Linked DNA regions of Arabidopsis thaliana. The protein of the gene in region 1 interacts with the protein of each later gene in a pairwise test. Each region holds a gene or a part of one and is shown on either strand. Other genes may lie near its edges. The genes, in order: MLO15, AMT1;2, AT3G18215 and SK42.

Region 1 (5,751 bases):
AAGGTAATGTTCTAGAATCACAAATATATCGGTTTTTATTAATTGACGGCGACATATTCTGTAATTGGGGAGTGATCATTGTTTTGTGTTGCAGGAACTGGATCTAAGTGTGGATCTTAACGCAGCTAGTGCTGCAGAGGAGGAATGATGGAAAATATTGCAAGCTCTGTCTCTCTCTGTTAGTCACCAAATGATGTAACCGGTTCTCTTTCTCCCTCTTCTTAAAAGTTGTCTCACCAAATGTTCTGTTAAAATACTAAATCAAACCGATCTCATCATGCGTACCTATTCCCGGTTATCGCAGTCTGTTTTTTTCTTCTCAAAAAACTAAAATGTTGGATTTCGTGGTTTTTGTTTGGAGTGTCTAATATATCATCATGCTCTTCCGTTTGAACAATTATCGTCTCAATCGTTTCGTAGAGAGTCGTTGCTTAACAAGTTGAATAGTAAATGCATAGCAAAACTAAACTAAGCATATTAAATGACTGGTAATACACACAAACCATTATTTTGTTCTTCAAACCGACATAGATTGTTTTTCTTCACATGTCAGTTTAAAATCATATAAACGAACACAAAATTGAGCATTATAAACGGCTCTGTAGAAATCACATATCTTGTTTGATCAAACTGGCAGACAGATTCAGCATCTTTGCTGTGTTTATTTGTTACAACGCCTTTCAATCAGTTATATATACCAAACAAAGTCGAACAAGTTCAAAAAATCAAAAATCACAACAACAAAAAAAATGTCAGAACAAGTTTTTGTTTGTTAATCATGGTGAGCAATCTCTGATTTTTCCTTGGGGTTCTGATTTTGTTGAGAGGAGCCTTTTCCTAGCAAGGAGTTCAACTGAATAGACGGTCTTGGACTAGTAGCATCATGACTGGTACCTACTTGTGTTGCGCCTTTCTTCACTCCCCTTTTAGCCATTTTTGCCCATCCAACAAGATGTTCCTGTGTCTGCTCGTTGAATATTGCACCTTTGAATGAACTTCCCATCTTTTCACCAAAAAATTAGAAGGTTTGGTTTTGAGTTTGTGTCTTGGTCTAGTTTGATATAAGAACACAAGAAAATTGACTAAGAGATGTAGAATCTGTACCTGAGTTACGAGTGCATAGAGCGGTAAGGTACTGTAACTGCAGAGAAGCTGAATTATTACCCTGCAAAAATATTTCACATTTCAAGATCAAGAAGCTCATAACAAGATCGATATTAAGTAGCTTTGGCTATTATTACCCGATGACGAGTCTTGGAATTACGAACTTGACATGATCCATGATGCATGAATCCCAACCAAATTGAAACTGTTGTTACAATTGCATGAGTTTTCACTTTTCTCTGTACGTATCTTGATATCTTCTAGATTATTGGTTTAGATCGATTAATGGTAAAGAGTACTTACAAGGATAAAGAAGAAGTAGGCGATTTCGAAGGAGTTTTGGAAAAGAATGAAATGGATCAAGAAGAGAACTAGCCGGGGACTTTGAAACCAGAACAAATCATCTGATGGTCGGACAACCAAATCTCCTTCCACAGCAATGTGTTTCTCTGCAACTTCATGAGCCAAATCTGTGATGATATGCTCTAACTTCGTCCCCACGGCAAGTAAAAGCTGAGGAGAAAACCGCGTAAAAAGAGTTGATTTAGATAGGTTTGAAGCATAGACATGCTTTGAGAAGGTTTTCAGGGACTTACGATCAAAGGAATAAAAGCTAGCCAGAAGTAAACATGCCATGCTGCAAGAAATATCGAGTCGATGATCATTCAACCGAAAAAAGAAAGAAGAGAAGAAAACTTTGTATTGGATCAAAGTTAAAAGATGTCATCTCAGTATCTCACCAACAATGTTTAGAAGCAAGAAGAGAACCACAAATACCCAAAGGTACCAACTGCAATTTGATATATACATTAGAATAGAATCAAGAACACTATGTTGCATTGGTTTTTGGAAAAACTATAAATTATTTACCTGATACCGACGACTTTCTTGAAATCAGAATTAAGGGCACGCATTAAATACTTATGGAAATTGAATTTTGGGTTGGTCTTGCAATGAGTCTTATAAAGATCAAATAGAAAAAGTTGTTTTTAGACATTATAGTAGAGATAAACACAAAGCAAAGGACGAATCAAAAATCCAAGATATATACCGTGACAAAGCCTAGCCTCATTGTGATGTAATCTGATTCATTGACTGACGCAAGAAACTGTTTCATAAACGATTGCTGCAAAGGAAAAGAACACATATCACTCAAAAACTTGCATATACACATACAAACATGTCTTTAATTACAAGTAAGATAAGTTGTGAGAAAACAAAAACACTCACCACCCATCCCAAGGAAGCATCAGCTTTTCCAACCCCAAGAAATCGTGACCTGATGAATTCGTGTTCTTGAACGTGTGTGAATTTCTTCTGGATCACTGTGTAGATATGTGTATATATAAGACTTGTTAACGTTACAAATGACTATAATTAATGAAAAGTTCTCAAGATCCTGAAACAAGATTTTGTACTATACTTTGGTCTGTGTCGAAGTCCTTCTCTAAAACCTTATCCTCCCATTTTTTCCATTGCTTTATCTATGCCATAACATTTTGTTATAATCATTAGACACAATAAAAAACTTATTCTGCGAATAGAAGTTGTCCGGTTTTAGAGTTTAGGATTATCACTAGCTTATATTTGTTCGTGATATCTCGTAACTAATAAAGATTAAAAAAAAGATTTATTGTTAAGTAAGGTGTAATTAAGAAAATACCTTCATGGTACCAAAAACAATGGTTAAGAGGCAGAAAATAATGTGGGCAACAGCTAATACGAAGATGAATATATGAAGCTCGTGCAGAGCTGATAATGACATTATTGGTACTTTTCCCTGAATTTAAAACAAACAAAAAGATTCAAAAAAGATATCATATTATAGACAAATTTATGTTAATTCTACGCACGTCTTCAAATAAAACGTGTAAGTCAAAAAAAGATTTGCAAAGATAAGAATACCTTTAGGGAGCAGTAGTCACCGGCGGGGGCATCTCCGGCGAGGAGATGACGGCCGGTGAAGCTGAACTGGAAATGGGAGGAGTCTTTAAGGGACTTCTCAGCCCCTGCAGGTTTCGTACAAGGGAGAAACTTTTCACTTAACTCCTTTGATATGCAAATCTTTGCGATTTTAGACTGGCCGACCGATAATAGCAACGATATGAACCCTACTAGCATGAGTTCTGTTTCCAAATTTTAAGAATCCTATTAGAACAAATGATATCATCACATGATGGATCTTTTTTTTTATCAACAAAAACATGAAGTCACCTTCTTTGATCTTTTGTAATGCCCCAAAAAGCTGCTTCTGATCGTTGTTCTTAAAGTGCTATATTCCTCATGCATAGATCCATAATAGTCATTTAGTCTACAACGTCTAAATGAATTATGCATACATATAAAATAAACACAAGGAGCCAATATGTAATATATAACCTTTCCGGCACGGTGAATGAGACGCTCGACGGCAAAAGAGATAGAGACAATGACGGAGCAGACGAGAGCAACCACCCAAGTTGGTGTGTACTCTAAGGTCGTTCCTCCTCCCGCCATTTTTTTGCTCCGGTGATTCGTGATTTTCTTGATCCCCTTCTTGTTTGGTGCAATTATATAATGAATGCCTAATGAGTTTAATCCAAAATGATGACCAGGTAATTGTTTTAAACCGGCGATCTTATTCTTTAGAACGTGTCTTTAAATATTAAAATTTGTAGGTTATATTCATTTTCATTTCTTTACTAGAAAGTGTAGGTTGTATTCATGCACATTATATAATGTGTAATGTATGCGGTGTCAGTGTGTGTTTGTCCCCTCTATGTTTTGTAATTTTCTTTATTTAGAGTTTTGGATAGTTACAATGTACAACCTAAATAGAAATTACTAATGTTATAGAGCCACCAAGAGTTGTTAATTGAGGTCTAATTAGACTCTTTAAGTCCCCATTTTTTTCCTTTGTCAAAGGTCTAAACCCAATATTTTTTCTTTTTCCTTTAACAAGATAAAATTTTGACTTGATATTGAATTAATCAAATGTAACTGATCAAACGTTTTATTTTAACGAATTAACCGCTACAATATTTGATCGGTCAATCTATAAAAACAAAATTTGGACAATTTCGCACAACCGATATAATCTCTTTAAAAAAATGGAGAACAGCTTGTACTCTTGAAGTCAACGATTCCGGTTAAGAGCATTCTATCTTTGATACAGCTCGACCGGAATTATTTAATCAACCGGTCAAAACCAGATATTTCTAATGGATTGGTGGGCTTCGAAGGAACAATCTAACAGCCAATAAAAATTCAAGATCAATTTAAAAGCCCGCCATTGGAAAATAACATGATTAGTCATAAAAAGCCTATCTCGGATAAAAGATCACAAGTCTCTGATAACTTGAACAAAAAAAAAAAAACTCGGTCCCAAAATCTTTGAAATTTGCAAAGATAAAGAAGGAAGCTTTCATCAATTCATTCTCCTGACAAGCTCGTTGATGAAATTCTCCCTGTTTCCAGCATCACCACCTTCGACGTAGTGGTTTCTCTTCTTCTTAAGGCCACCGAGTGGTGCCTTCAATTGGAATGGCCACAGGAAGTTGTTGGCTTCCTTGAAGTGAGGTCCAACAGTCATGATCTCGTGGATGAGATCCTCAACGCAGATGATCCCATGCTTTCCGAGAGCCTGATCCACAATGGAGTTGTCAGTAAGTGCTATCCTCTGGTGGTTCAGCTTTCCATAACCTCTTTTGTAGATCAGTTCCTTAACGCTCTTCAAGTTTGGGTATCTGCACCAGATATATCATTCGGTTTAGAGCAGCATATAGTTTAGTTTACATAATCCTATTGAAAGAGAGAGAATCAGATTGCATACCCGTAAGTCACGTATGGTTCAACTCGGCGCAGCATGTTTACTGTTGCCTTGTTCACCTTAAGAAACACACCATTGAAGATCTGCACAAATGTATACGAAAGTAAACTTCTTGACAACGCAATAGTCTTCTACTCTCTTTTAAAAATGATGAACAGGCAACTATCACATATTAGTTTGAACATATAACAAATATTAATCAATAATCATATGTTAGGCTAATATAGCTGGATGAAAATAACAAACTGTGAAACCTACCTGTCTCAAACGCAGGAGCTGCAGAATCTTCTTGGTTTTTGGGTCAATGGCATTGATACTGCAAATGACAAACAATCACGTAAATAAAAAACAGAATCTATATGCAACAACTTATGTAACACACAAATAATAGGCACATACCCACGGATACGAATGATAAAGAGCAACTTAGCCTCAGGGTCAACGTAGAAACCTCCTTTCAACTTAGCCTCCCGCTTCAATCGGATCAACTCGTTATCCTAAACAAGCATGCAAATAATATATCATGATTCATTACAACAACCATGAACAGAACAGTCATCTTAGTCAGCAAAGATGAACAAAAGAGTGTTGCTTTATTACCTTCTCAGCGTATTCTTTGGCATACTGCTCAGCTCTCTTGAAGATAAGCTTGCGGGCCTCAACACTCTTCTTCTTAGCAGCTACAGCTTCATCTTTCTTGGCCAATGCCCATTCCTCTTGCCTCTTGATCTTCTTTAGCACAGACTCTGGAACCACTACCTTGGATTCAGCCATTTCTCCTACATACATAGCATGCCATAAACAAACCAAAAATAAGCTATACTAATCAAATAAAAAAG
Region 2 (4,695 bases), on another chromosome or scaffold:
AATTTTTATTTTTAAGTAGTATAACGGTTCTAGAAAATGAGTTTTTTGAGGAAAACTGAAAAACATATTACAGCAAAATAATATTGTTGATTGAAAGTCCCTTCTAGAATAGATCGACAACCCCTTTAAAGGCAATATGAGGCAACACTGCCGTTGAAAAAATTGATCGACAACCTTATATGCAATATTCGACACCTTTGTATAATATTCAGTGTAATTTGGTATGAACAGTTCGTATCCAACCGCATATTATTATTTATATAAATAATATTCTCCAATTTTGATTTATACAAGCTAATCTAACAAAGTTGTCGGGAAAATAAATTAGTTAGAATCGTAATTAGCAACAAAATACACAAATAATGTCAAATAAAATTCTAAATAAAACAAACATCTAGGTGGGAGCTACTCAGATTTGTATGTAGTATATAAGATCAACTTTTAGTGGTGAATAAATGGGTGATGATAAAAAGAGAGGACGAGAAGACAAATGATAAAATTGAACGGTAATTTATGGCAAATGGGAAAAAGGATAAAGTACATACGAGGCTCCGGACCATCCGTTTTCTAAAGTAGTAATATACTAATATAAATATATTTATATTTTCATATTTAAAATATTAGTTATTCAGAAAATTTGACGACCAATCAACAGAAAAGAATCATTGAACCAATGGATACCATGGAACTAGCTAGAAGCCTAGAACCATAGGTTATGATATCAAATCCCGAATCATGGTTACGTATTATGTGGTTTGAACAACAACAAAAAAAAAGGTTACATAGTTTTGTGGTGATAACATAACCGATAAGTACCCAAGACAACTTTCTTATGATCAGTATGTGATAATTTGATAAGCTCGTCCACAAAAAAAAAACTCGTTTATAATAAAACTCGACAATTCTGATTAATTTCCGTTGGTGATTATTGATTAACATTCTAACGTTCATTTTATCAAAACAAAACATGCTATCGTACAAGATTTTTTTTTCCTCTCTTTTCTTAACATTTAAAATGTCTCAAGACCGCTCAAATTCCAATGTTTAATTTTGATACCAAACGTTCACTTTAATTAAAAAGACATACTGATCATGTTATTGTTAACAGTTCCACACTATCTGTCCACAACAGAGCGATAACCAAGAGAAAAAAAAAGAAGAAGAAGAAGACCAATAATACACAAAGATGCGTCCAACATGTTTGGTGCCCGAACTCTTGTCTTCACCACATTAAAACTGACTCGTTTGGGACCACTCAATTCTCCAATCAAAGTATCAAACAGTCAAGGTCGGTGTAGGAGTCGAGCTCCGGCTTGTAGGCTCCACTCTTCCAGCGAAATGACCCCATGGTTTAGTCGACACGTCGTCTTCGTCATTGTATGCGTAAGCAAATCCTCCATGACGTGTCATGTCCATTCCTGCCATCTCATCTTCTGCTGATATCCTCAAAAGATTCATCTTATGTAACCCATAAAACAACGGTCCCATAGTTACCGTCACCCACCCAACGATCACAATAATCTGAACGATCTGCGCGGCGAGCAGTTTTCCTCCCCCGCCCATGAACAGTCCGTAAGGCCTATCACCGGAGTAAATCTCGTTAACGTATTCTTTCCTTGCGAACAGCCCGGTAAAGATTAATCCCCATGCTCCACATCCACCGTGGAGCTGAGCAGCCTCGAGTGGGTCATCATATTTAAGTTTCTTGGCAAGCAAGTTAAATCCGATTAAAACCCATGATGCCACAAAGCCACATACTATAGCAGCCCACGGCTCCACCACGGCACATCCGGAGGTTATAGCTGCAAAGCCGCCTAGAAGTCCGTTGCATACGTCAATAACGTTCCAATGACCTGCTAAAAGCCGTTTACTGAATAGAGTAGTCAACGCAGCGGTGCAGCCAGAAAGCGTTGTGGTGACCGCGGTGCGACCTACAGCGCTCCATTGACCATAATATGGCCGAGACTTGTCGTAGCCTTTAAGAATGGTTAAAAAGGAACCAGGGTTAAACCCATACCATCCAAACCACAACAAGAAGGTACCAAGCACGACAAGGGATGCACTGTGACCACGTAAAGCCACGGACCGGCCTGACCGGTCAAATCTACCTATTCTTGGTCCTTCAACTAACGCTCCACATAAACCGGCAATTCCACCTACCATGTGAACAACTCCTGAACCTGCGAAATCAATAGCACCTGAGCCAAACAAGAGATTGTTGTCAGACCGGGACGCGCTAGCCCATCCATCACTTGACCAGAACCAGTGCGAGACTGTCGGGTAAACAAAACCGGTCAAGAAAGTAGAGTAGATAAGGTAAGCAACGAATTGCGTTCGCTCGGCGATGGAACCGCTAGTGATTCCGGCCGCGGCTATGGCAAAAGCCCATTGGTAGAGGAAAAAGCTGAAGTCGGAGCCGGGGCGTTCAGGGTAAGAGCTTAAAGCGAAGAAGCTATGGTGGCGACCGATGAATCCGTTGGAAGGTGTACCAAAGGCGAATGCGAATCCGAAGAGGTAGTAAGAGATGGCTCCAGCGGCAGCATCAAGGACATTGGTAAGCATGATGTTCATAGTGTTCTTGGCTCGGACTGATCCAGCACAAAGCATAGCGAAACCGAGCTGCATGGCAAAGACAAGGTAGGCGGAGAAGAGGAGATACGTGTTGTCGACGGCATAAGTTGTGTCGGAGAGTTTGTTGGAGATGTTTGAAATTTGGGAACATAAAAAGGTTGCCGCGGCGAGGGAAGATGTTGAGTTAGAAGAAGAGGATAGGAGGGCAGATAGATCTACGGCAGAGCATGTGGTGGTTGCGGTGTCCATGGTGGAGAGGGAGGGAGGGAGAGATAGAGAGAGGGTACTTGATTGTGGAACGTGTTTGCTTAAGTGAGTACTTGTGGTGAGAGTGTCTTTGGTGTATTTAAAGTGGAAAAAAGCATATTTATTTCGTTACATCACAAAAAGTTGCGGTACTACTTACTCTTCTTCTAGTTGAGGTTTTAAAAGAAGTTTTCTGAATTTTAAAATTCTAGGTCTCTGGTTTAAGTTTTTTTAAACAGTAGTAATCAAACTAAAATAAAATTAATAAATTTGTTTTGGTATAGTTTTGTTTTAGTTTCTATTCAGTTTTGAACATATTTAAAGTTAATTTTTTAAAGAAGATTTTTTTATTTTAATAAGATATTTAATCAGTTTTTGTGTGCAATTAATTTTGGTTATACGAATAAAAAAAGAAAAAAGAAAATTCTTATAATATTTCGTTTAGTGTTTGAATCGTTTATTTTAGTATGACAAGGAATCGGGTCAGCATTTGTTTATGAGAAACAATTAATTAAACATCGCTACATAGAAGTACGACATTAAAGAACAAGTTCAAGCATATGACGATATGATTCTTTTAAATGAATTTGTATGTCTATTTTTCCAACTCAATATTTTATATGAACTAGTTAATGTTCTTACAAAGGAGAAATAATTTATTTTTTTTGACGGCACGATTCAAAGGAGAAATAATTTGATTTCTTTTTTGGAATTAAAATAATTTGAAAAATGTAATTTTTCGTTTCGTTTGTATCGATGAAGTCAATAGTTGATAGATCATGAATGATGTATCATTTATATGAATGTGATATAGGGGGCAAGGACGATCACTCAAATAGTTATAAAATTATCACGCTAGATTAAATATAAAAATTATTTTCAACTTGACTACAACTACTTCACAACTGAATACGTAATTCGACTTGAATAATAGGCATTATTTGATGCTGTGTGATTTTTAGCGCCATTTATTTTTGTATTTTTAGTTAATCAAACAAATATGTTGTAATTTGAGGTACCGATTTCACATAGAATTTATATTGCACTACGTATTAGAGAATAAACTGTTAAAGCTACAAACTATATATAGGGTTCAATTTTGTGATTACAGGAAAAATATATATGCAACAAAGGAAAGATGAACAGATTCAATAGTAAAATCGTATTAGGTTTTCACGGAATCACAGTGATAGTAGGAAATCACGCAACAAAGAAAAAAACAAAATGAATGGACATATGAACAGTGAAAATGTTTTTATATTACGTTAAATGTTTTTAAAATGCGATTTATGAAAAAATGGGTAAAAATAAATGCGATTTATGAAAAAATGGGTAAAATTAGAGTGTTATCAGCAAGATCCGATCCAAAACCAATTGTTACTATGCAGGATAATGCGAGATGGGCATTCGAGTCAGGTTCTGATAAAATCCGATCGGGTACAGGTTTTTTTGGATAGAGAAGTTTAGGATCCAATAGAGTAATTCTAAAATATCGGTTTGATTTTGGTTCGGGTCCAATCGGGTTCGAATATAGATTTTCAGGCCTTTTTTGGAATCGATACCCAAATTTTCGAATAAATACCCGGATTTTCGGATTCGGGTCGAATTCGAATTCGGTTTTTTGGTAGAGAAATTTAAGACAAATAAGATAAATCTTCGAATTCGGATCTAATTTTTCGGGTCGGTTCCAGTTTGAGTAATCGGTTCCGGTTTTTTGCCGCCACTAAATTTGCTAGAGTCAAAATATGGTAAAAACTGCCGCAAAAGTGAACCGCTAACCACGTGATTAAATACACTTTTCTGGTAAACAATATAACTTTGACGGTCATTCAAATGCTGAAGGACGTGTTGCTCACTAGCATAGTTTATGTCATTCTA
Region 3 (4,932 bases), on another chromosome or scaffold:
TGTAAATTTTGCATTAGTCATGCACACACATAACAATGTTAAAATCGATCTTTGGATTCGACCAACATAACAAATACAATTTGTTTATTTGGTATACTATTGTAGAGGCAAGGAGATTGGATGTATGAAAATAGAGTAAAAGTTCTAAAATTGGACACAAAACAGAAGATCGACGAAGAATAAAATATGAATGATTTTTCTTCTTAAGGCGACCACTTACAATGTAACTTTATTTGTCTCTTTTTTTTATTATATACATACAAAAAAATTTAATTTTTATACTATTTGTAGTGTAACACCTGAACCATGGTCAAAACCAAACCCTTTTACTTTGAGTGAAGAAGAAGAAGAATACATTAAGAATTAAACCCAAGAGATCACATTATATATATATATATATATATATATATTATTTTTTGAGATCACATTATTACATAGTAGACCACTATTATTTCAATTATTTGTTTGCATTTACGCGAGCATTTATAACATGAAAACTCAAAGGAAATTGTTCCATGAGATATCATCAAAAACACTCGTTAATAACATAAAACTCTTGAAATTCAACGAACAGCCAGACACAACAACAGACCAACCATATTAACAAGAAAAATAGACAAATCATCGTCCAAATGCAAAAGTAATTTGTCTCAGCTGGCCAGCCAACATATAGATTGTAGAGAGAGACAACAAAGTAAGAAGAGAGAAGATGGGTCTCGAACTTTTTTTGGTAGGCTAATAATCTTTTAATTAGGCCCAGCCCAGTCTAGAAGTTTCAAATCCTTAAAAAATATTCGGAAAACCCCAAATCTTTGGTGCTTGCTTGAGTGTCGCGCTTATTTATTCCTGCATGCTCAATCTGTCCGGAGTCCGTCAGGTGCTTTAGGTTTTTCTCTCTGTCTTCTCCGATTCTAAGAGACGTGGGGGAAATGAGCCAATTAGAGGTACCAGATTCCATGAATGAGTTTAGATGATCCATAGTGGATACGAATGCAATGAGATCTTGTATGATCTCTTCGCCTTCGTATCCGATATCGGATCACCTAAAGACATCCCCATTGTCTTATTTTCCGCCGTCACTGCCACTCCAGCTTTGTAACGTCTCTTGGCATTAGAAGAAGAATCGAACTTTTGTCCTTAAATCTTAATAAAAGGTTTCATTAATGTACTTATCGAGCGTGAGCCTTTTTGTGCGTATCTAGTCATGTTTAAACAGTTTGAGGCTTGAACATTTCGTTTATGGATTTTACTCAATCCTGTGGAAACAAAGCAAGAACAAAATTGTTTTAAGGCCTGTGTGAATAATAACAATTCTTCTTAGTTATCCAAACCTAAAACCAAGAACAGAAAAAGCTAAAACCATTACTTTCTTCAGTGATGAACATACTTAAGATTGTTTGTTTGCGTTTAGGTAGGCGTTTGCGTTTTCATCTTGTAATGTTTTCTAATCATTGTAACATGAAAACACAAACGCATACATAATTGCAGACAAAGTTGTTCCATCACATTACAAAAGACACCGTTAACATATAACTCTTAATACACAACAAAAGTCAGAGAAGAATCTACAGAGTATGAACAGCTGATTCGATTTCGCCGTCCATTGAATCAGCCGTTTCTCTGAACGATTGGCTATGAAGATGCCTGGTAAAACTAGTGGTCGTGTCCAAGAAATATAGAATCGAGGACATCATACAACAGCACACAAACATCGGGATTGGCCCGAAGGTCCATAAGAAGAGAGGGAAGGAGAAGTAGAAAGCCCGTAATCCGAGAGACCAGAAGTAGCTAGCTCGGTTCAGGTTTCTAGACACGTACTCGCAGTGCTCTCTTTTCCCTCTTGAGACAGGCACTGTGACTAGGAAACTTACGTGAGCGTAATACCTGATTGACTGGATGTTGCAGAGAAAGGCCATGAGGAAACAGATCAGGATTGCAAAGTTCTTGAATGACGCTAAGCGAGGGCTTTTGCTCCCGTATATGAGATTTGTTGCCGTGGATTTTGAAGATGACGAGTTGCTTACAAAGACGCCGATGATGGAACATAAAGTGATTGCTGTTGTGGCTAAAAGGGTTGATGCCATTATGTTGTTCCGGATTGTCTGAACAGCCAAGGTACCATTTTTCAGTGGTTCCTGGAAATAACAATAGATAAACTTATATCATCTACTGCAAAAGAACCAATACTGAGAGCCAAGACCACCGATAATTCGGATCTTAACGGACAGACACACGACTGTGTTCTTGTTTCTCATGTCTATGACTCTGTTCCTATCCAATGAACCTCATTAACTAGCTCCAAGATTCTAGCTGAAATATGCGTAGAGTTGTGAACTATAGGGATCTGTGATGCATATCCTCCATGAACAAGAAGAGTTCTTGAAAAATGTCAAGCTTCCAAGGAAGATAGCCAACCGTCTATTATAACATTGATTCTACTAATGAAGATTCACATCTAACATCACTTGACAGCTCCAAGACTTTGCTTCTCCTAATCTCATCATCTTTACTCATCATAAACCCTGCTCAATTTTGCTACCTGATGTTTGAAGATCCAAATATTTATGGTTTACTAGTTTTTAGTTGACTTCGAAAACTTCAGAATCATGAAAATTGAGGATAGGAGAGCCGTAAGACTCTCAATACCCAATTCCTAAAATCACGAACAAAGCAGCTCTATTGCCATAAACCCTAATCTAGACCCCAAAATCTCCAGAATCAGAAATACCAAGAAAATCCCAGAATGTCACCAAAAGAGGAACAATAGAAATGAGAAGAGAAAAAAACATACAGTCATCATAGAGAAGACCCATTGTCGTCGAGACTCAGCGTTGAGAGCGATAACAGTGAGCTTGGGGCGGTGAAGAATAGCGTAGACGAGCCAGACATGGTAAGCAACCATCACGACCAGACCCGTCGGCACAAGCACTAAATCCAAAGATTCCTCCGTCCACATTTCTACTTCGCCGCAGAGATACTTTCAATTCGTACGGTTGTTCCGTGATCGGAAAGATCGATGGCGGCCAAAAGATTTTGGCAGAGGCAAGAGACGAAAAAGCACCAAGCTTTGAGAGCGAAAGCTTTCATTCACACGTGTGAACTTAACAAACTCCAGAGGAGACTATCGATATCTCTCACGTGTTAACCAATAACGCACTAACAGACAACTCAAAGTCGAATGATTTCAATTCCACGATTATACCGGTAATTTCAGTTTAAACCAAATAACCGGTTCGAATTATTTAATGGGCCGCCTAATAGATGGGCTAGAAAATCATTTAACTCTTCTTATAAGGCGTATGACTGGTGGTTTCGTGCGTAATATTAACAAATAAATAAAAGATAAAAAAATCTTCGAGGGAACATTCAGAAACCCTAACTTCAACGGGAACTCAAAAATCAGAATCTCCAGATCGAGAGCTTAAAAAGTCGATTTCAATTCCCCTTTAAGATTTTTTGCTTTTGGAATGTAGTGTGAAGAAGAAACCCTAGTTTTTTCTCACTTGAATTCTCTGCCTTCTTTAGTAATGTCAAGTGAGCAGCGAGAAGGTTCGCAAGAGACGACGACGACGACGGTGGAAGGTAACGGAACAATTGCAGGTCAGAATTCTCATTCGGCGGCTCCCACGACATTGAGAGCTACCTCTACGATGGTTTCTTGCCAGAGACTAAGGCTAAACCCTAACAACGAGCATAGACCCGATAGTTATGAAGATCTGCAGCTTGATTTCCCAAACTCGGTATATTCTAGTCTGGAGAAGTACTTGCCTCCGAATATGCTCGTCTCGAATCGTGATGAGAAAATCAAATTCATGACTGATATTATGCTTAGGCATCTTCCTCATGGAGAGCGTTCCAGAGTAAGTACTAGATTTGGACCTTTCTCTCTTGAATTTTGTTTTTACTTGTATTGATGACTGTGAATTGCTTTAGAAGCTACACTTCATTATGAAAATTTGAGCTTTTGCTAATTGCTACTATGAACTGGTTTCACTTTTAGTTAAGTGGTTATGGAAATTTCAATCTGGTTAGATGATGGTTGGTAGAAGATATTGCATGAATGGTTTGAAAATGTCAATATGAGCTCAAGAGTTTTATTAAGTAGTTTTGTTTGGCTGATGCTACAGGCTCAAAGGCACAGTGACTATAGGCTGAAGATTACAACAAATTATCAGGTGTGAATCCTTTCTTGAGCTTTCTTGTGTTCTGTATTGCTCTGCTCCAGTCATTTGTTAGTAGTTTGAAGTGTTTTTCTACTGCAGCCACTTCACAAGGAGTTGTATACTCTAGTTCCCACAGTATGTTTCGTTCCTGCTTTCCTTAAGGCGATAAATGAAAACACAGAGGAAAGCTTCAGAAATATAATATCTGAACCGTCTCCTGGTGTTTTCGTCTTTGACATGCTCCAGCCTAGCTTTTGTGAGATGATGCTAGCCGAGGTAATGTGCATCCATTTTTTGTTTTTCTCTTATCCTTCGTATTTTGTTCATTTGCTCTTGTTTGACCATGCAGATAGACAATTTTGAAAGGTGGGTGGGTGAGACCAAATTCCGGATAATGAGACCAAACACCATGAATAAATACGGTGCTGTGCTTGACGACTTTGGTCTAGACACCATGCTTGACAAACTCATGGAGGGGTTTATACGTCCCATCTCTAAAGGCAATATATTTTTAAATCCATTACATAGTCTATTATTGGAAAGTCTGTTTAATATGTTCACAGTGTTAAAACTAAAAAGCTACTTCGAATCTTTTGTTTTGCAGTATTCTTCAGTGATGTGGGTGGAGCAACTCTGGACTCTCACCATGGTTTTGTTGTTGAATATGGGAAAGATAGGGATGTTGATTTAGGTGAGACCCTTTGACATATCCTGTATAATTTCCCATGACCTGACTAGTTGTCCTAAATGCAGATATATTCCAATACTC
Region 4 (7,960 bases), on another chromosome or scaffold:
TCCACACGCACATGTATCCTCTTCCTTATGATTCTGTTCCCAATCTAAAACCCAACCCAACACACCAACTTAGCTCTCCAACAGATTACACTAATCATAAACACAAGAAATGAAAAGAGAAGCTTTCACAACATCAAAACATATAATAATAGTAAACGAACGACCCAATAAGAAAAGCTTGAAACTTTCGAGCCAACACTAATCCAACATCTCAGAATTCAAAACAGATAGCTCACAGAAAGACGAATTAAACCCCAAATGAAAGAATCAAAATCAATTTCAAACCCTAATTTCAACAACAAAAAACTCTTTCAAACAGATTAAAAGTTTTGAGTAATCAAACCTGTTTGTTGACTTCAACACCAACGGCACGTTTAGTGACATTCCAGATGCGACCAGTACGACCATGGTAGAACTTATGAGGCATACCCTTGTGGATAGCTCCATTAACCTTGACATCGACGTAATCGCCGACCTTGAAGGTTCTGAGGTAAGTGGAGAGTGGAATATAACCCTTCTTCCTGAATGGTCTCGCGAACAGATCTCTTGTTCTCGCCCTCACTCCGTGTCCCGCCGGCATTTTTCCTCCTCTCTCACTTCTGTCTCTGACGAAACCCTAAAAATGGGAGAGAGAGGTGAAACTAGTTTAAAAGGCTTTTTGTGTACATGGTCTTATTGGGCCTTCAATATTTAAGCCTTATTTTGTAAAACAAATGCCTTATTTGAAATTAACTCGAAGATAAATTGGTTTGGTGTAATTCGAGTAATATGGTTCAAATCAAGTTCGTAAACATGGACAAATAAACTAAACTGTCAATTCATTTTAAGGTTCACAAATTTTTTGGAAAATTGTGTTGTGGCAGGAGTCTTGCAAATGTAAGTATGTTCCTCTATATCATATATCTAACAAAGTAGTGTTGTATTTTACGCATCCTCACTTCACGACAAGGGATGCGCAAGCACCTTAATACAAAAGTCATTGCTTCTTTTTCCAGTGATTTCTGTTTACAGAGAGAGAGCTCTACTGGTTTTTCCCAAAGACTGGGATCTAGAGAGCTTAGAGAAAAGAAGAGAACACCCGATAGGTCGTACAGAAAACACGGAAGAGACTTACGAGTGTAATGCCATGAAGTGGTTCTGCTTACGGGCATGTTCTGGGACAAGTCGGTCCACAGTTTCAGGAGGGATACCAGAGAGTTCTGTAGGACACACGCTTATCAATAACACATACTAATTTTCTTCCCTTATAAAGAATTTAACACGGAAAAAAGAAGAAGCAAATAACAGAACCTTACCTTGTGGTTTAAAATTGAATAGCGGAGGAAGTGGCCGGCCGTTTGGCAGACGAGCATTTGGGTCTCTTAGCTCATCAAAGAAAGGGTGGATACAAGCTTCCACCTATCAGAAAATCATAAGACATACTTATAATGGGTTAGCTTCTGATGCTGATCCCAAAAAAAATATGGAAGTAGAATATGTAACAAAGTCAGAGAAAAGCTATGAATAATTTACCGCTGTACATCTCAAATTAGGAGAATACTGGAAGAACCTACAAAGAAGATCTACTGCTTCAGGTGGCAGACGTTTCTGGAATACCTGAAAGTAACAAACACATGATTCTTGTGCTGTAAGAACATGACTATATAGAAGTAAAACCAAGGAAATGATCACTTAAGAGAAATTTTAGCACGGAGCAAAACAAAAGATAAGAATAACGAGTAACAGAGTTCTGGAATGTCAGCTGTATAAAATGCTGAATAAAACTTCATCTAGATAGAAACTTAAACCAGCAAAAAAGCCAAGATCATGAAGCCTAACTGTTTTCAACCCCCACGAGTGTGTGCATGAGTAATTCCTTTTGGCAAAGGTTCAATTTATTTGTTTGTATAAGAATCTTATATACAAAGGCAAAGCTGTCACATCGCTCTATATGCCAGAGGAATGAAATATGAAGTTAATTGATCACATATACTTCAATCAACCTCACTAAACCGAGACAAGCTTGGTCATATATCGATTAAGAGAACCCTATTAGGTGATAATTGATACTACTAGCGGTATACCTTGTGCCAAGGATGAGGTTTTATCTGAGGAAATTTAAATTCTGTGTAGTTTGGATTCATGCATTTGATCTCCTCCCTTGTTGGTGTACCCAAAACCTGCATGACAATTAAAAAACCATGAAGAGAGAATGTACGAGTCCTACTACAAAAATGGTGGTAAAGTTTTATAAAAAAAATATAATCAGCAGTGAGAAACTATTAGTCAGTGCCAGCTCTAAAGATGTCATTTTCTTTGTAAATACAACTAACCCTAAAAGAATTGATAGCAAAAATACTACCTTTATGATTTCAACAAGTTGATCGACTCCACTTTCGCCAGGAAACAGAGGCTGTAAAACAAGTCCGCGAGAGCAAAAATGAGTAAGAGGGTGAAGAAATAGAATAACAAGCATATAGCTAATGCAAATATAGTGCTCCAACCTGTCCAAGCAGCAGTTCAGCCATCACACAACCTGTGGACCATATGTCTATTGCAGTTGTGTACTCGGTGGCTCCAAAAATGAGCTCTGGGGCACGATAGTATCTTGAACAAATGTAAGAAATATTGGGTTCTCCTTTCACCTGTGGACCATGACACGTCATAATCTAAGCATGGACTAGGAAAACTAAACCACTAAGAGCTATAGCTGATAAACTTTACCAACACTTTTGCACTCCCAAAATCACAAATTTTCAGCTGATGTGTGTGTGGATTCACCTGCACATCACAATAGGTGTAAAGAAAAAAATAAAAGATTGTTTAATAAAAACAAGGCAACATTTGTTTATGACAAATTCTAGTCAATTGCAGGTATGGTGAGCCTAACAGCTGAAACAGTATGGAACAAGTTCAATCCTTGTGAAATCACAAGAAAATAGGATTCTAAATATTTAAACCAACGAACAGACCAGCTAAAAACCAAAACTATTTTCCGAAAAGTTAGATTTTAACATCCTACTTGAACAAATAGCAAGTGAAATTAACTACAGAACAGAAGCCCAGTACCACTCTGAGGTTGAAATAAACATTAGCGAGATGCATACATAACCTCATTGCTTAATCCCACCAGGCATGTAATAACGAAATATCATCATGTCATTACTATATAATGATCAAATTTGTAGAATTAAAGAACACTGTCTGATATTTATGTACACAAATGCCTTTAAAATCCTTATGTGTGGTGACAAAGACCTTGCTATATAAAAAAAATTCAAACAAAAGTAGCTTACAGGAAAGTGAAATCTATCATCAACTTCTTTTCAGTGAGAAAAAATTGGAACTTACTAGCAGGTTTTGGGGCTTTATATCACGGTGACAAAGACCACAGCAATTATGAAGGTAAGCAAGCCCCCTGCAAATCTGTAGCCATTAACATAAAATCCTCAAAAATCATTGGAGAATGTCCAACAAATTATCAGGCCCGATTCACACTTAAGTGTTCAACAAACGTTTGAGCACTACTTCTTTTATATAGAGACAATCAATTATGTTCAATAGTTCCAACTTCTAACGGAAAAGTACAATAGTATCAGAAATGATAGGAACTTTGCCTTCTGGTTTACAATCTATCTAGCAAAACAAGAGGAAATCTCCAACATCCATTATGGAATGAACCACAAGAAACCAGCTGACACATATCAAGAAACTGAATATAGCTTAAATTTTGAGTGATTACTTATGACGCTTACATAAAGAGAAACAAAAAAAGATCAGAAACAGGAAATAATCACCTGGTAAGTGTAGAGTTTGACATATATCAATGGCATCAGCTGGTTCATTCTACTGTAGCTTCTGGCAGTACGATTGACAGTCTCGGGAACAAACTCAAGGACAAGATTTAGATAAACCTCTTCATTTTCTGTTCTTGAATAGAAGCTATGCTTTAAACAAACAACATTCGGATGGTCTAGCATCTGCATAATTTGTAATTCTCTGTTCTTGTAACGCTTGTCTTGTAGAACTTTTTTGATGGCAACAACCTCCCCAGTTTCTCTGCATTTAGCCTACCACAAGGAGACATAAAATGTTTGGGAATCTTAACCAATGGTAAAACAACAAGATAGACAATCTTACTCACTTGGAAAACCATTCCGAATGAACCAGTCCCGACTACGTGTTCTGCTATGTAACTGACTGTCTGTCAATCAAAATTAAAAACAGTTGTATAAGAATCAGTACGTCTCACTAACAATCTAGACACACAGTTTCTATGACCATCTAACCTGTCTTGATTGACCATTTCGTCCAGGGAGTGTAGTTGTGATCACATGGCCAGGTTCTGCACCAACTCCATCAATGATATCTGGTTCACTGTCCTGCAACATGGCAAAAACATCAAATTCAAGTAAACTACTTCATCAAATAGAGGGGCGCATGAGAAGGAAGATAAGCTAAAGAAGTTCACAAAGAAATAAAGACCTAAGAAAGGAGATGCAAAACTTACTCTCTCCTCATCAGCCTCTGTCTTGTCCCTTATCTTCATCTCAAGCATATCTCTGCTCAACCAATCAACTGAACTAGAAGTGTTCTTTGTATTTTTGGCAGATCTCGAACTGCCTACTCCATTTCCCAGATGAGATTCCATGGTGGTGGTTGTTCGGAAGATAACACGTACTAGTAATTGATAACACCATAAACCTTAGCAATTTGGTGTCCCATCCCATCAAAACACCAATCTTCCTAGTAGAATATTAAAATCGTTTTCATAAAGCAAAAACAGTATAAGCAATTACCAGAGTATATACCCACAGAATTTAGATCGTTGGAACATGCTAACAGAATACCAAAGTCACTGGTTTTTCCAAATATATTCAAAACAAAATATCTTAACACTTAAAGCAGATTTAAGAGAAAAGAGAAACATGCAAACTCACTTTCAGAAGTGACATAAAGTTAGCAAATCGACCATCCTATCACCTTCTCAGAATATATTCTACAAACCAAACATAACGCATAATACCTATATATTCATAGAACCACCGAGCACATTCTTATAGCTTGAACATCCACAAGCACTATGAGATAGAAATAACTGAGTGGTGTGGTCTCTAGCTGCTTATGTTCCCTTGATCAATCACTACAAAGAAGAAATATGGTGAATTGAAATGAAAGAGGAAACATATTAGCAGAAAATATGAACCATTTCTATGTGAACAATGAAATTAACAAGAGAATAATTGAGAAAACAAAAGAATCAAATCAGCTACCTAATTTTCTGAGGTCACAATAATTTCTTCCGAAGTTAATTATGATCAGATAGAAACACAGAAAAGTCAACAACTTGGTATTAAAATTTCATTGAAACTTTGAAATAGTGGGTGATAACACAACACTGATACTACTACAGAAGACTAGAATTGAAACCCAGAAGAAATTACGACAAAACCAGATCTAAATTCCACTAAAAGGGACAAAGCTTGTCCTTAAACTCAGTTTCTACAATTACAAAAAAAACCAGAAAAATCAGTAAAGCAGTTGTTACTGCAAGAACCTTAACTTCCTCCAAAATTACACAATTCAACCAATTCGAAGCGCTATCTTCAGGCTTGAAGCCGAAGATGATCGATTTACCTTGAACGGAAAAGTAAAAATCACGCATTTGATGATCTTCTTCTTTTTCTTCAATTTATACAAAATCGAGCTCAATTTTTCTGACGAGCGATCACCAATGGAGAGAAACTGATCAGTAGAGATTTTCTCTGTGGTTTTCTTTTGTAGATTTCTTACTCTTTTGAATCAGGAGAGTTTTTCAGAGATTTTCATTTTCTTTTGTAACATCTACTTTATTTAAATTCGTAAAAGGGAAATACAAACAATTAATTAACCAACCAATCAGAGATTTATAAAAGAATTAAAATATATATTTATTTTAAAATAAAATAAAAAAATTAATTGATAAGCTAAACCAAATCACATCTATTGTTAAACCGAAATGGTCCATTGCTTTTGGGTTTAAGAAAGTTGTTCTTGCGGGAGGAGATCGAGTTTTTGGAATAGGGTTTGATGGGAAGATTAGGTTTTGGAATGGAGAGATTTGGACTAGAATCAAAGATCAGATTGGTGAATTCTCTGATATTATTGTTCTCAAAGAGCTAATTTACGTGTTGGATACGAAAGGCATTGTTTGGTGGATTAGTATCGTTAGGTATGGAACTTCACTTACTAATGAATGTGGTGGAGACTTAAGCTTGGTTGCATGTTGTGGAGAGCTTTATATTGTTGATCGTCTTTTTAAAGAGAATGTCTTGAAAAGAAAAGCTGATTACTTGGACTTGGATGATAATGTTTATGTTGGTGTAGCTCCTCGGATTTCTAATGTGATACATGACGATTTTGGGAATGAAAAATGCAATGTGGACCAAGAGGTGGAAATAGAATGTCCCAAAATGGTTGGTTTCAATGTTTATAAGGTTGATGAGGAATTAGGGAAGTGGGTTGAAGTTAAGTCCTTGAGAGATAGTGCGGTTGTGATGGCGACTGATACTTGTTTCTCGGTTATGGCTCATGAGTACTATTGATGCGTACCGAATTCTATATACTTTGTCCATGAAAAGGAAGTAGAGGTTAAGGTGTTTAAGCTAGACGATGGTAGTACTTTGATGATGTTTGGTTCTGAGCAGAGTTGTTTCCAAATGTTTGTTCCTAGGTTTCTCTGAATCTTGTTTAGGCTAGAGCTACTTTCTTTATATTAAGGATATTGGAGGAGTGACAAGAAATGTGATAACATTATCTCTATCTCATACCATACTTTACCATTTCCGTTAAGCTCTATCGAAAACCTTTCTTCTCCAGCTAGTAATATGAAGAGTGCCACTTCTGTAACCGAAATGTGCATGGCCTATTGGTATATTTCTGGCTTTCATCGACGTAATAAACCACTTGCAGAGGAATGATCACCCATGGAAGATATACAAAACAAATAAGCATATAAAAGACTTCTTCTCATCAGCCTCTGGATTTGAGTTGCTTGGGGAAGACGTTTACGTTGCATTCTATATAGGAAAGGTACGAGCCTAAAGGCATAAGAGCTTGGTGCAGCTTATATCATCAAGTGGGATGTGGCTTTATTGGTGTCTCGATGCCCCATAGATGTTAACAATCAAGTCTACTTGAGAAATATATAGGGATTCACTCCTCTAGCAAAGTATTGTAACAAATAAATGCAAAACAGAGAAAAGAAAAAAATCAAACTAAACCAACTAATAAATAAATTACATAGTTTGATCCATATCTATACAACATATTTTGGACATTGACTTACAAGAATCAGAATAACAAGAACAGATTGACAAACACTTGACATGAGAAACTAAACTTCAACATTGTTCTCACTTTGGTTAAGTTCCGCCATCTTCTTCTTGTTTCTCTTGTGCAGAGTGTAGAAGTAAGATCCTAACGCCAAAACTGTTCCTATCAAAGCACCAATTCTAGGCCAACTAAACACATCATCCATAAAATCAAATGCCAAGACAACAAACAAAGCCACAAATGGTGAAGCACACATATGAACAACATCACCAAAAAGACCCGAAACATAATGCACCAAACCTATCATCCCGACCGCCCAAACCTGCCACGACAAAGCCAACCCGACCAAACTCAGAACGTAATACGTTTCCCCTTTCTTAAACCTCTTGCTATCGCCTTTCAGTTCCTTATACTCGTCACTCGCAAACAAGCCCACGAGACAAACAACCGAGGCGACAAAAGCGACACATATTTGCATCTCTAAGACCATTCTAAACACTTTCTCGTTACCATATCTCTTGGTCTTCACTTGGAGTTTCTCGAACCCGAGTTGGATTAAGCAAAGAGATAATGAGAAAGCAATTGTAGCAGAGAAAGCTAACCAAGCTTGGATGTTGTATCCGAATTCTTCGCCGTCATGAGGCTGTCCTCCAAAGTCAGGAGTACC

What was found.
Region 2: the proteins of MLO15 (region 1) and AMT1;2 interact in a protein complementation assay, tested with the Arabidopsis thaliana proteins (one large-scale study listed by BioGRID).
Region 3: the proteins of MLO15 (region 1) and AT3G18215 interact in a protein complementation assay, tested with the Arabidopsis thaliana proteins (one large-scale study listed by BioGRID).
Region 4: the proteins of MLO15 (region 1) and SK42 interact in a protein complementation assay, tested with the Arabidopsis thaliana proteins (one large-scale study listed by BioGRID).

The regions. Positions count from the first base shown.
Region 1 is NC_003071.7:18,244,717-18,250,467, forward strand, and holds MLO15 (Seven transmembrane MLO family protein), read right to left. Parts: upstream 3,744-5,751; 5' UTR 3,601-3,743; coding exon 3,484-3,600; intron 3,377-3,483; coding exon 3,319-3,376; intron 3,231-3,318; coding exon 3,010-3,230; intron 2,885-3,009; coding exon 2,768-2,884; intron 2,589-2,767; coding exon 2,528-2,588; coding exon of another isoform or gene 2,523-2,527; intron 2,430-2,522; coding exon 2,335-2,429; intron 2,231-2,334; coding exon 2,156-2,230; intron 2,064-2,155; coding exon 1,975-2,063; intron 1,895-1,974; coding exon 1,845-1,894; intron 1,742-1,844; coding exon 1,701-1,741; intron 1,618-1,700; coding exon 1,408-1,617; intron 1,310-1,407; coding exon 1,242-1,309; intron 1,166-1,241; coding exon 1,105-1,165; intron 1,004-1,104; coding exon 773-1,003; 3' UTR 641-772; downstream 1-640. Other genes in the region: GDI1 (guanosine nucleotide diphosphate dissociation inhibitor 1), read left to right, coding at 1-3, 95-148; AT2G44120 (Ribosomal protein L30/L7 family protein), read right to left, coding at 4,511-4,829, 4,916-4,995, 5,171-5,228, 5,312-5,409, 5,513-5,701.
Region 2 is NC_003070.9:24,059,746-24,064,440, forward strand, and holds AMT1;2 (ammonium transporter 1;2), read right to left. Parts: upstream 3,060-4,695; 5' UTR 2,821-3,059; coding exon 1,276-2,820; 3' UTR 895-1,275; downstream 1-894.
Region 3 is NC_003074.8:6,238,992-6,243,923, reverse strand, and holds AT3G18215 (transmembrane protein, putative (Protein of unknown function, DUF599)), read right to left. Parts: upstream 3,156-4,932; 5' UTR 2,957-3,155; coding exon 2,792-2,956; intron 2,540-2,791; exon of another isoform or gene 2,136-2,539; coding exon 1,566-2,135; 3' UTR 846-1,565; downstream 1-845. Other genes in the region: AT3G18210 (2-oxoglutarate (2OG) and Fe(II)-dependent oxygenase superfamily protein), read left to right, coding at 3,528-3,860, 4,128-4,175, 4,263-4,439, 4,513-4,663, 4,768-4,854.
Region 4 is NC_003070.9:21,430,248-21,438,207, forward strand, and holds SK42 (shaggy-like kinase 42), read right to left. Parts: upstream 5,857-7,960; 5' UTR 5,630-5,856; coding exon of another isoform or gene 5,590-5,629; exon of another isoform or gene 5,266-5,589; coding exon of another isoform or gene 5,180-5,265; exon of another isoform or gene 5,123-5,179; 5' UTR 5,006-5,122; intron 4,726-5,005; exon of another isoform or gene 4,722-4,725; 5' UTR 4,631-4,721; coding exon 4,490-4,630; intron 4,362-4,489; coding exon 4,269-4,361; intron 4,184-4,268; coding exon 4,124-4,183; intron 4,050-4,123; coding exon 3,777-4,049; intron 3,406-3,776; coding exon 3,331-3,405; intron 2,761-3,330; coding exon 2,704-2,760; intron 2,625-2,703; coding exon 2,484-2,624; intron 2,393-2,483; coding exon 2,342-2,392; intron 2,160-2,341; coding exon 2,064-2,159; intron 1,597-2,063; coding exon 1,513-1,596; intron 1,399-1,512; coding exon 1,296-1,398; intron 1,200-1,295; coding exon 1,115-1,199; coding exon of another isoform or gene 1,111-1,114; exon of another isoform or gene 964-1,110; coding exon 891-963; 3' UTR 804-890; downstream 1-803. Other genes in the region: AT1G57860 (Translation protein SH3-like family protein), read right to left, coding at 1-44, 344-580; AT1G57906 (F-box protein), read left to right, coding at 5,180-5,265, 5,590-5,629, 6,003-6,563; PUP17 (purine permease 17), read right to left, coding at 7,355-7,960. UniProt on the Arabidopsis thaliana protein: May mediate extracellular signals to regulate transcription in differentiating cells.